Rattus norvegicus: one gene and its partners. The protein of the gene in region 3 purifies or fractionates together with the protein of the main gene of each other region. This does not show direct contact. Links are inferred from orthologs where the notes say so. Each region holds a gene or a part of one and is shown on either strand. Other genes may lie near its edges.

The links.
Region 1: the proteins of Slf2 (region 3) and Slf1 purify together in Homo sapiens (co-immunoprecipitation; 3 studies listed by BioGRID and IntAct, with this or other methods). This does not show direct contact. The link is inferred for Rattus norvegicus from reciprocal best matches to the Homo sapiens genes SLF2 and SLF1.
Region 2: the proteins of Slf2 (region 3) and Smc5 purify together in Homo sapiens (affinity purification with mass spectrometry; 3 studies listed by BioGRID and IntAct, with this or other methods). This does not show direct contact. The link is inferred for Rattus norvegicus from reciprocal best matches to the Homo sapiens genes SLF2 and SMC5.

The regions. Positions count from the first base shown.
Region 1 is NC_086020.1:8,554,162-8,557,816, reverse strand, and holds part of Slf1 (SMC5-SMC6 complex localization factor protein 1), read left to right. Parts: intron 1-129; coding exon 130-293; intron 294-3,655. UniProt on the Homo sapiens protein: Plays a role in the DNA damage response (DDR) pathway by regulating postreplication repair of UV-damaged DNA and genomic stability maintenance.
Region 2 is NC_086019.1:230,210,060-230,213,714, forward strand, and holds part of Smc5 (structural maintenance of chromosomes protein 5), read right to left. Parts: intron 1,540-3,655; coding exon 1,414-1,539; intron 1-1,413. UniProt on the Homo sapiens protein: Core component of the SMC5-SMC6 complex, a complex involved in repair of DNA double-strand breaks by homologous recombination.
Region 3 is NC_086019.1:253,752,507-253,756,161, forward strand, and holds part of Slf2 (SMC5-SMC6 complex localization factor protein 2), read left to right. Parts: intron 1-986; coding exon 987-1,089; intron 1,090-3,655. UniProt on the Homo sapiens protein: Plays a role in the DNA damage response (DDR) pathway by regulating postreplication repair of UV-damaged DNA and genomic stability maintenance.

The DNA of each region.
Region 1 (3,655 bases), on a different chromosome or scaffold from region 3:
ACAGTTAAGATTTTCTGATGTGTTGTTCACAAGGGTAGGCTAGAATTACTACTCTAGTTTTACACTAAATTAATGGATAAAACTGTTAACTGTTAACATTATTCTATTTTTATTTATTTTCAATAATAGGATAATATAGATACATTTTCTGGTCGATACTTTCATATATTATCAGCTCTTCTTCATCTGCATCCTCCTTGGAAGTCACCAGCCATGTCAAGATACTACTTAGAGCTATTTCAGTGTCCAACTTGTATGAAAGGAGCCTGGCCTCTCGTGGAGATGCTCGTCAGGTATGTCCTTTCATACGAAGACATTTTGTCTAATATGTGATTTACTATGGTATAGATACTAATTTTTAAAAGTGTCTTTTCATACTTTTAGAAAAATATGAATGCTTGATTTTGTAGTGTAAAATTATAAACAGGACAAATTATGTTGATCATGTTTGTCAATATTTTAAATATACTAAGTATTTGAAATAGACTTCAAATAATGACAACTTTTAAATTTTTTCCAAAATTCTCAATTTGAATATTTTTCAAGGAAAAAGTTATTAAGTGTAAGTATCAAACAAAGTTTAGTCATAAAAAGCATAAATATCATTATATGTGATATCTATTTTAGGGGTTTATTTTACTATAAGTAGACATTTGATTTTTTTAACCAGGACCTATTGTTTTCTAGCTATGTCTTTATTCTACACATGTCACTTCTCTAGGCCGTTGTTTGGTTTTTGAGTATTTCCACGAATCTTTCCTATTTTCTCTAGCTAGACTCATTATTTTATGATTTCTACTATAACTTTTATTTGATAGTCTTCCTTTACTGGGAACACTTGTTTTGTTTATGTATTGTCAAATTTATTTTACATAAAGGAGAAAAGATTACGTACATCTTTGTAAATTCCTTGAGTACATACCCAGGTTTTGTTACAGCATAATTGGGAAGAAGAGTATCTCAAGAGTACTGAGTATAGAGGAGCTAAGTATTAGTCTTTTTGCTATAAGCACTTGAGCCTGAGTAAGCAAAGTGCTTTGCACAAGAGCAGGAGTACCTCTGTTCCGTCCATTGAACTTAAGTTGTAAAAAGCTGGTACGGCCAAGAAGTGGTAGCCCTTGCCTTTAATCCTAGCTCTCTAGAGGCAGAGACAGGTAGATCCCTGAGTTTGAGTCCAGCCTATTCTTTGGAATCAGGTTTAGAATGGCCAGACCTACACAAAAAAAACCTTATGTAAGGGAAAAAAAAAAAGGGAAATTGGTATGCTACTATAATCCTAACCACTGAGTAGGCAGAGAATGGAGAATCACTGGAACTTGCTGGCCAACTAATCTTACTGCATCACTGAGTTCTGTATTCATTAACAGTCTGCATTTTAAAATTAAAAACTAAGTTGGCAAATGATTGAAGAAGATAACCGACATCAACCCTAATCTGTACATGCACTCAAACACATACACAAATATATCTTTAAAAATATACTGCATACAAGAAACATTCCTCAATGACAAAGACAGATACTACTTTAGAGGAAAATGCTGGAAGTCCTAGTCAGAGCAATCAGACAATAAAAGGAGATCAAGGGGATACAGATCGGAAAAGAAGAAGTCAAAATATCACTATTTGCAGATGATATGATAGTATATTTAAGTGATCCCAAAAGTTCCACCAGAGAACTACTAAACCTAATAAACACCTTCAGCAAAGTGGCTGGGTATAAAATTAACTCAAATAAATCAGTAGCCTTCCTCTACATAAAAGAGAAACAAGCCAAAAAAGAAATTAGGGAAACGACACCCTTCATAAAAGTCCCAAATAATACAAAATACCTTGGTGTGATTTTAACCAAGCAAGTGAAAGATCTGTATGATAAGAACTTCAAGCCTCTGAAGAAAGAAATCAAAGAAGACCTCAGAAGATGGAAAGATCTCCCATGTTCATGGATCAGCAGGATTAATATAGTAAAAATGGCCATTTTACCAAAAGCAATCTACAGATTCAATGCAATCCCCATCAAAATTCCAATCCAATTCTTCAGAGAGTTAGACAGAACAATTTGCGAATTCCTCTGGAATAACAAAAAACCCAGGATAGCTAAACCTACCCTCAACAATAAAAGGACTTCAGGGGGAATCACTATCCCTGAACTCAAGCAGTATTACAGAGCAATAGTGATAAAAACTGCATGGTATTGGTACAGAGACAGACAGATAGACCAGTGGAACAGAATTGAAGAAACAGAAATGAACCCACACACCTATGGTCACGTGATTTTTGACAAAGGAGCCAAAACCATCCAATGGAAAAAAGATAGCATTTTCAGCAAATAGTACTGGTTCAACTGAAGGTCAGCATATAGAAGAATGAAGCTCGATCCATGCTTATCACCCTGTACAAAGCTTAAGTCCAAGTGGATCAGGGATCTCCACATCAAACCAGATACTCTAACTAATAGAAGAAAATGTGGGGAAGCATCTTGAACACATGGGCACTGGAGAAAATTTCCTGAACAAAACACCAATGGCTTATGCTCTAAAATCTAGAATCGACAAATGGCATCTCATAAAACTACAAAGCTTCTGTAAGGGACACTGTTGTTAGGACAAAACGGCAACCATCAGATTGGGAAAAGATCTTTACCAATCCTACAATTGATAGAGGATTCATATCCAAAATATACAAAGAACTCAAGAAGTTAGACTGCAGGGAAACAAATAACCCTATTAAAAAATGGGGTTCAGAGCTAAACAAACAATTCACAGCTGAGGAATGCCGAATGGCTGAGAAACACCTAAAGAAATGTTCAACATCTTTAATCATAAGGGAATGCAAATTAAAACAACCCTGAGATTTCACCTCACACCAGTGAGAATGGCTAAGATCAAAAACTCAGGTGACAGCAAATGCTGGTGAGGATGTGGAGAAAGAGGAACACTCCTCCATCGTTGGTGGGATTGCAGACTGGTACAACCATTCTGGAAATCAGTCTGGAGGTTCCTCAGAAAATTGGACATTGAACTACCTGAGGACCCAGCTATACCTTGCTTGGGCATATACCCAAAAGATGCCCCAACATATAACAAAGACACGTGCTCCACGATGTTTATAGCAGCCTTATTTATAGTAGCCAGAAGCAGGAAAGAACCTAGATGCCCTTCAACACAGGAATGGATACAAAAAATGTGGTACATCTATACAATGGAATATTACTCAGCTATCAAAAAACAATGACTTTATGAAATTCGTAGGCAAATGGTTGGAACTGGAAAATATCATCGTGAGTGAGGTAACCCAATCACAGAAAAACACACATGGTATGCACTCATTGATAAGTGGCTATTAGTCCAAATGCTTGAATTACCCTAGATGCACAGAACACATGAAACTCAAGATGGATGATCAAAATGTGAATGCTTCACTCCTTCTTTAAAAGGGGAACAAGAATACTCTTTGCAGGGAATAGAGTTGCAAAGATTAAAACAGAGACAGAAGGAACACCCATTCAGAGCCTGCCCCACATGTGGCCCATACATACACAGCCACCCAATTAGACAAGATGGATGAAGCAAAGAAGTTTAGGCCGACAGGAGCCGGATGTAGCTCTTTCCTGAGAGACACAGCCAGAATACAGCAAATACAGAGGCGAATGCAGGCA
Region 2 (3,655 bases), about 24 Mb from region 3:
TACTTAATAATTGGTCATATCAGCCAATCAACACATTTTAATAATAAATGTATTATTTCCTGATTTCACTTTTTCAAAAGCAGTGTAACTTTTGGGGAGGCAGGGTTGAAACAGAGTTCAGTTCTTTTTTTTTTTTTTTTTCGGAGCTGGGGACCGAACCCAGGGCCTTGCGCTTCCTAGGCAAGCGCTCTACCACTGAGCTAAATCCCCAACCCCCAGAGTTCAGTTCTGTTTGTAGGTATTGAATTTGGGATCATCCTGCCTCCACCCACAACGGCCACCATGCCCAGCACACAAAAACTAGAACTTATACACATCACACCAGTATCTTATTAAACAAAACATATTTTAGATTCATTCTACAATTATCTTTAGAAACAAACCTCTCAATTAGTTTTATGAATTTCTGTTGAATTCTTACTCTGTACCCAAACAGAGTACCCTGTGGTTTTCTGTGTCAGGTAGTATAAAACAAAACCTTCCAGGATATGACAACTACAAACTATACTAGCCTTTTTCTATGCTTAGTGGATATTTCATTATCTGTGAACGTTGATACATTCAAGATTTTAAAAGTACACAATACTACTATTTAAAAATGCATTGTAGCTATTTTGATATTACTCTGAGTAGCTATGCAGAAAGGTTTCACTGTCGGACAAAGCCTAGGAACACAAGAGACAGAATGAATGCAGAGTGTGAACTAAGGGAGAGAGTGAATGCAGTGTGAACTGAAGGGACAAAGTGAATGCAGAGTGTGAACTGAAGGGACAGAGTGAATGCAGAGTGTGAACTGAAGGGACAGAGTGAATGCAGAGTATGAACTGAAGGGAGAGAGTGAATGCAGTGTGAACTGAAGGGACAGAGTGAATGCAGAGTGTGAACTGAAGGGACAGAGTGAATGCAGAGTGTGAACTGGAAGGTAGCATTGCTTAGTCGGACTCTGACATAGCAGCGTAGAACTGAAAGAAGGTATCATCTCGGAAGACTCAGCACCTGGAAACCCCTCTTTAGAGACAAGACCCCTAAAACCACTTGCCTTTTTCTTCTCAGTATCACCCTTGCTTGCTGTTTGTGAAGCACAAACGACTTACTAGTTTCCACAAATGTTTTACACTCCAACAGTCCCTCTCAACGACGGTTAAGAGGGAAAGACTTTAATTGTGAAAATGAATGCTGTCATTTCAAGATAATGCCCATACTTTAAAACTAAGCAAGGACTGGTGACTAAATCTGAGAGAAAGCTATATAAAGTTACTTTATGTACACTATCAATGGTATAAGAATGGGAAAAGGCAGAGTTTTAAATACCACTTTGTGTTTTCATGTCCTGTGACTATGCCTAGAGTAGGACATCTTAAACTGGAAATACTGTGTTATGTCAAACGCAGCATTATTTATTTTTATACTTACTGTCTGAAATTCTTGGGGAACGGCTTGGTCTGCACTCAGGTTACATACTTGCCTAGCTCTCTTCATAAGTTCCTTGCACTTCTGTAACAATCTCTGCCTATTGTCATCCAATTCAATAAACTGTTGCTGTTAAAAAAAATTTCAAAATGTTACTACTAAATCAGAGGTTTGTTGTATAAAGCAATCACATATTGAATAAATTGCTGAATTCTGATTATGAGAACCGTGTCTTCTGAACCATGACTTTTTTATAATAAAGGTGCATTAGCCTTTTATTATGAAGGTAAAAATTTAAACTTTAAAATATCAGAGCCAGTATCTCTCTAATATGTAAGAAACCTAAAGTTTACTCTTTTATAAATGTTTAATTTTAATGGAACATTATCATACACAGGCTTCACATAAGAAACATAGCATCCAATTATAAATTTTAAAATTACTTTTCAAATGTTTTCTCTATTTATCATTCATTCATGGACTTATTCATTTCCTAGCAGTTAATTAGCAAGATCCATGAGATGCCAATATTATATTCTGTATTAAGTACTGAGTGGTGAATATGGCAAGACCCACAGAACCATCATCATAACAGAAACAGACATTATCTACTGAGTACATGGGTGCTTCCCACCAAAGTTTTCTCTCCTTTCCCTACTCTCTGTCCCCACTCCATTTTGGGAAGGTAGGGCTGTAGAAGCAGGGTCTCATGTAGCCCAGGCTGGCTTTAAACTTGTTATGTTGCCAAGAGTGACCTTGAACTCCTGATCCTCCTGCTTCCCAAGTAAGGGGATTACAGTCACATAGCCCTATGCCTAGACCTTGCATCTTTTATTTCCCACAACACTACATAGTAACAGGCTCAAAAGAGGATGGAGAGATGGCTCACAACTACAGGTCTAGGGAATCCGCTGGGCTCCTTGTACATACACCCAAGCCCCTAATACATATATTTAAAAAGGCAAAGTTATTTATTTACTCATTCATCCAGTTGTTTATTTATTGACTTATTTATTTATGTTTCTCGAGACAGGATTTCTCTGTGTAGCCTTAACTGTCCCGGAACTAGCTCTGTAGACCAGGCTATCCACCAACCCAAAGATCTGCTTGTGCATCCTTCCCCACCCCCCAGTGCTGGAATTACAGGTGTGTACCACCACCACCAGGCCAGATAAAAGTATTTTTAAAAAACTAATTAAAAAAACCATTTGAGTTCACACATTTAAAGACTACTAACTCCCACATTCGTTCCTGCTTATAAGAAACCCTACCTACTCTGAGGTGAGAATGTATCTCCCAGAACAACAGAAGCTCCACCTGTAAAGTCTCACCAGCGTAACTGCCCAAACGTGAGTTAAAGCCCATGGAGCCTCAGTCCTACAGGTAACTGAGGAAAGCTGGGAGCAGAAGAGATGGCCCTACCCAGGGAAGAGAACAAAAATTGTTTCTCCAGTGTCAAATGGTCAGCCCCACAAACTTACATAAAAGCAATATATGTATATACTCAACAGGCTATATTTGGAAACACACACACACCAGATTTATATATGTGAGTATGTAAAAGTACATATATACATGCAGTAACAACTGATGAAAAAAAGGAGGCCATGAATCTGAAGGAGTGTGGAGGAGCATATGAAAGAATTTAGAGGGAAACAATGTAATTCTAACATACTCTCAAAAACAAACAAACTAAATTTAAAAATCAAAATGGGGTGGGGGAACACCTTATATTTGGAGAAAGGGTTTCCTGAATTATGGGCTCACCTTCAAACTTACTCTGTAGCCAAGGTTACCACTAGATGCCTCATCTTTCTGCTTCTACCTCACAAATGCTGCCACCATAAAGTACTGTTGCTTGTCCTATACAGCACATGCCCCTTTTGTCATAATAAATGCTTTTCAGTGAATGCAGTGTGGAGCATGTGTAAGTAAGAAATAGAATACAGGATGGAAGTCAGAGTGATCATGGAAGCTGTGCTAACTGCACAGCTTTAATGGGGAAAAATTACTAAGAACCAGTTATGGAAAAAATTTAAAGATAGATGATTATGAATATATAGACACAGAAGCCTCAAAGATACACTTGGCTAGTTAGTAACATAATATGACTGGAGGAGAGGCATCTATAAGGATATAAGAATTTAGCCTTACTAAGGTGGACAAAGGCCAGTCTTTGAAGTTTCATGTATGAGGATAAGGGTATCTACCCTATCTAATGCACTTCTAGACCAAGCATTATCAC
Region 3 (3,655 bases):
AATCCAGCCATGGCAGTTCACAGCTGTAATCCTAGAATTGCTGGGGCAGGAAGATCGCAAGTTTGGTGTCACTCTGAGCCTACAGAGCAGGACCTTTTCTCCAAAAACATATTCCCAGTACCACAAAAGGAAAGGGTCACCGGTGACAACAGTAATAACAGTGGCTGTCAGAAGCTGGAGTTTGACCAAGGTTTGTTTTGGTTTTTTTTTTTTTTTTTTTTTTTTTTTTGGTTCTTTTTTTCGGAGCTGGGGACCGAACCCCGGGCCTTGCACTTCCTAGGCAAGCGCTCTACCACTGAGCTGGGGACCGAACCCAGGGCCTTGCGCTTCCTAGGCAAGCGCTCTACCACTGAGCTAAATCCCCAACCCCTGTTTGTTTTATTCATGGCTAGAGAGTCCTGGCTCTGGTCTCTTGTTTTGCTGTGTTTTTCCTCCACTAGTACTGTCTACTGCTCCATTGTATTGCAGTGCTCGCTTCCCGCTCAGATTCGCAGAAAGCACATAGAGCTGGAGCTTGCCTTTGCTTGTGGCTGATTGGGTGAACTGTCAGCAGTAGCACATATAGCAAGTGATTTTGCGCAGCTAAAAATCAGAACTTCAGTACCACTGAGAAAGACAAAAAGAGATATTGGGATAGATAGTTCTTAGGCTCGCTCTGTCCAATGCCTGACTAGGATAATTGTTCTGAGTGTGTGGCATTTCAAGTCTGTAAAGACCATGTGGACTCTGGTGCTGAGTTTTAGGAAAGTTCACCCCTAAAATGGCAAAAGCTCGTGTCCTCAGACTTGGTAGTCTGAGCACTGCATACAAATGTGCCTCTGCCCACAGAGGAGTCAGATGGGCATCAGTTACGTGGGAACCTGCTCCATGTTAGTGTGGAATCCACCCCATCAGCTGAAGTTTGCTTCCTCATTTCTCTGATTATGCCCAGTGTGTGTGCAAGAGGTTTTTTCCATGGGTAACCATCACTGATTTTCTGTTTCCAGATCAGGAAAAACAGATCAGATTTTTTTGACAACACAAGGCTTCCTTACCACTGCATACCACTACGTCCAATGTCCTGTACCTGTGTTAAAGTGGCTGTTTCGGGTAAGAGAATTGTTTGGGGCTTATAGTGGGTACCTACTGTATTTCCTACTCAGTAAACTCCTAGGGTCTAGCAAAATAGCTCAGGAGTGAAGGCGTTTACCACCAAGCCTCACTACCTGAGTTCAGTGCCCCGGCCCTACACGGTAGAAGCAAAGAACCACCTCAAGAAAGCTGCACTCCGGCTTCTAGAGATGATGCGCACCCCATGCACACTATTAAGTGGATAAATGAATTGTTCTCACTTTAAGCAGAAAAAAAAATCCATATTAAACCCATGGTTCCTAGGGGAATAAAATGAGGCAGGAAGAGCCAGTGCTCCTTCTCAAGTTACAGCAGTGCTTGTGCCTGTGTCCCTATTCACACGTATCTACGTGGGAGTCTGTGCATGTGATGCAGGCCTGTGGAGGCCAGAGGTGTCAGGTTCCTTGAAGCTGGCATTGTAGTGACTGAGTCACCAGACATGTGTGCCAGGCACTGAATTCTAGTTCTCTATAAGAGCAGTACAAGCTCTCACTCTGAACCACTCAGCCATGTCGGCAGCCCCATGTATGTTTTTATGCAAACTCAGCTGGCTGTTTCTCTTCCATGTCCATATTAATGCTTAATTCATTTATATGTCCTTGTTTCTGTTTAAATGATGTAGATTTTATATAGTGCTTTGGTGTTCCTCTAGATATGTTAGACATGAGTGTAGGTGTTTATTGCTCTGGGCATATCGAGAAGACAGTAATTTAGTATATAATACAGTGGATTTTGGCCCTCTCTAGGGCTCTTGATGTTACGCTAGGTTCCCTGTTAGTAGTGCCCAGTTAAGGTAGTATTCTCCTTCCAAGGACACAGTTCATGGCAAGTTTTGTTGCTTGTTTGTTTGGTTTTGGATTTTGAAGACAGGGTTTCTCTGTATAGCCCTGGCCAGCCTGGAACGCTGTAGACCAGGTTGTCCTCCACCTCAAAAAGATCCAGGTGTCTCTGCCTCCCAAGTGCTGGGGCTGCAGGCATGTGCCACCACTGCCCAACTCCTGTCAAGTTTTTCTTAAAACTACTGGAGTGTTCTATTTTAATAAAATTCTGGATTTATAGAAAATAGTGGTTAAACCTTTTTTAAGTATAAAAGGATATTTTGTACTATGCAAAAATCTGCCCTGTAGGCAGGGGAGATGTTTTTGTGTAAAATGCTTACTGCACAAGTACAAGGGGCCTAAGTTCAGATTCTGAGGACCCATCTGCAGGCTCGGAGTGGCAACACATCTTGGCAACTCCTGTATATAGCTGAAAGTATATATGGGAAGATCATAGGGGCTCACTGGCCAGTGATTGTAGCTCCAGGTTCAGGAAGACCCTTTCTTAAAGAGTAAGATGAAATGGGCTAGGCAAGATGTCCAGTTGGAAAGGGTGCTTGTCACCAAGCCTGACAATCCAGATTCCGTCTCCAGGAACCAGATGGTAGGAGACAGCAGACTCCTGAGGTTGTCCTCTGACCTCCACTGGCTTGCTATGGATGTGTTCTCTTCCACAGCCAATAAGTAAATACGGTCATAGTGATACAGGAAGACTACCAGTGTTTACCTTCGCCTTAGCAGGGGCCTATGTGAGTGATTATGCCTTCATGTACATATATACAATAGTCTTGCCCTAGAAATCCTGTCTCCTTTTAAACAGTCTCATTATATAGCCCTTACTGGCCTGGAACTCACTGTGTAGACCAGGCCTCAAAGATCTACCAGCCTGTTCTTAGATGGTCTGGGTAGGATGACTCAGCAGATAAGAGCGCCAGCTGCTTTTGCAGAGGACCCAGGTTTTATTGGTATCAGAAAACTCTATTACATGTTGTCTTAGTCAGTGGTATTTTGCTGTGATGAGATACCATAACTACAGCAACTCTTATAAAGGAAAATGTTTAACTGAGGCTTACTTATAGTTGAAAGTCTGGTGTGGAAGTGGCAGCATGCAGGCAGCTAGAATGCTGGAGAGGTAGCCAAGAGTTCTACACCTGGATTGGCAGGCAGCAAGGAGAAGTGACCCGGGCCTGGCTGGAGCATGTGAAACCTCAAAGCCCACCCCCACTGACACATTTTCTCCAACGAAGCCACATGTCACACCTAATAGTGCTACTCTCTATGAGCCTGTGAGGATCATCATACTTGTGAACTAAGATTTAGGGCAAAATATGGCATTTCTACTCTTGACTTTGGGAGTATATCAGGAAACCTGTTTAAAAGACTTTAGAGACAATCTTCATTATTGTCATGTGGTTTACTTTCTAGTATTCTTTCATTATTGTCATGTGGCGGCAGGTGGAGGGTGTTTTGGGTTTTGTTTTTTCCAGACTGGTTCTCTGTATAACAGCCCTGACTGTCCTGGAATTCTCTCTGTAGACCAGGCTGGCCTCAAACTCACAGAGATCTGCCCCTGCCCCTGCCCCTGCCCCTGCCCCTGCCCCTGCCCCTGCCCCCCAAGTGCTGGGATTGATTAAAGGTGACACCATGCCCAACTAGTGGTTGGCATTTTTAGTGTCACTGTGCAAGGTACTAGATGAAACACCACAAGAAGCCTACTTTCTAACACA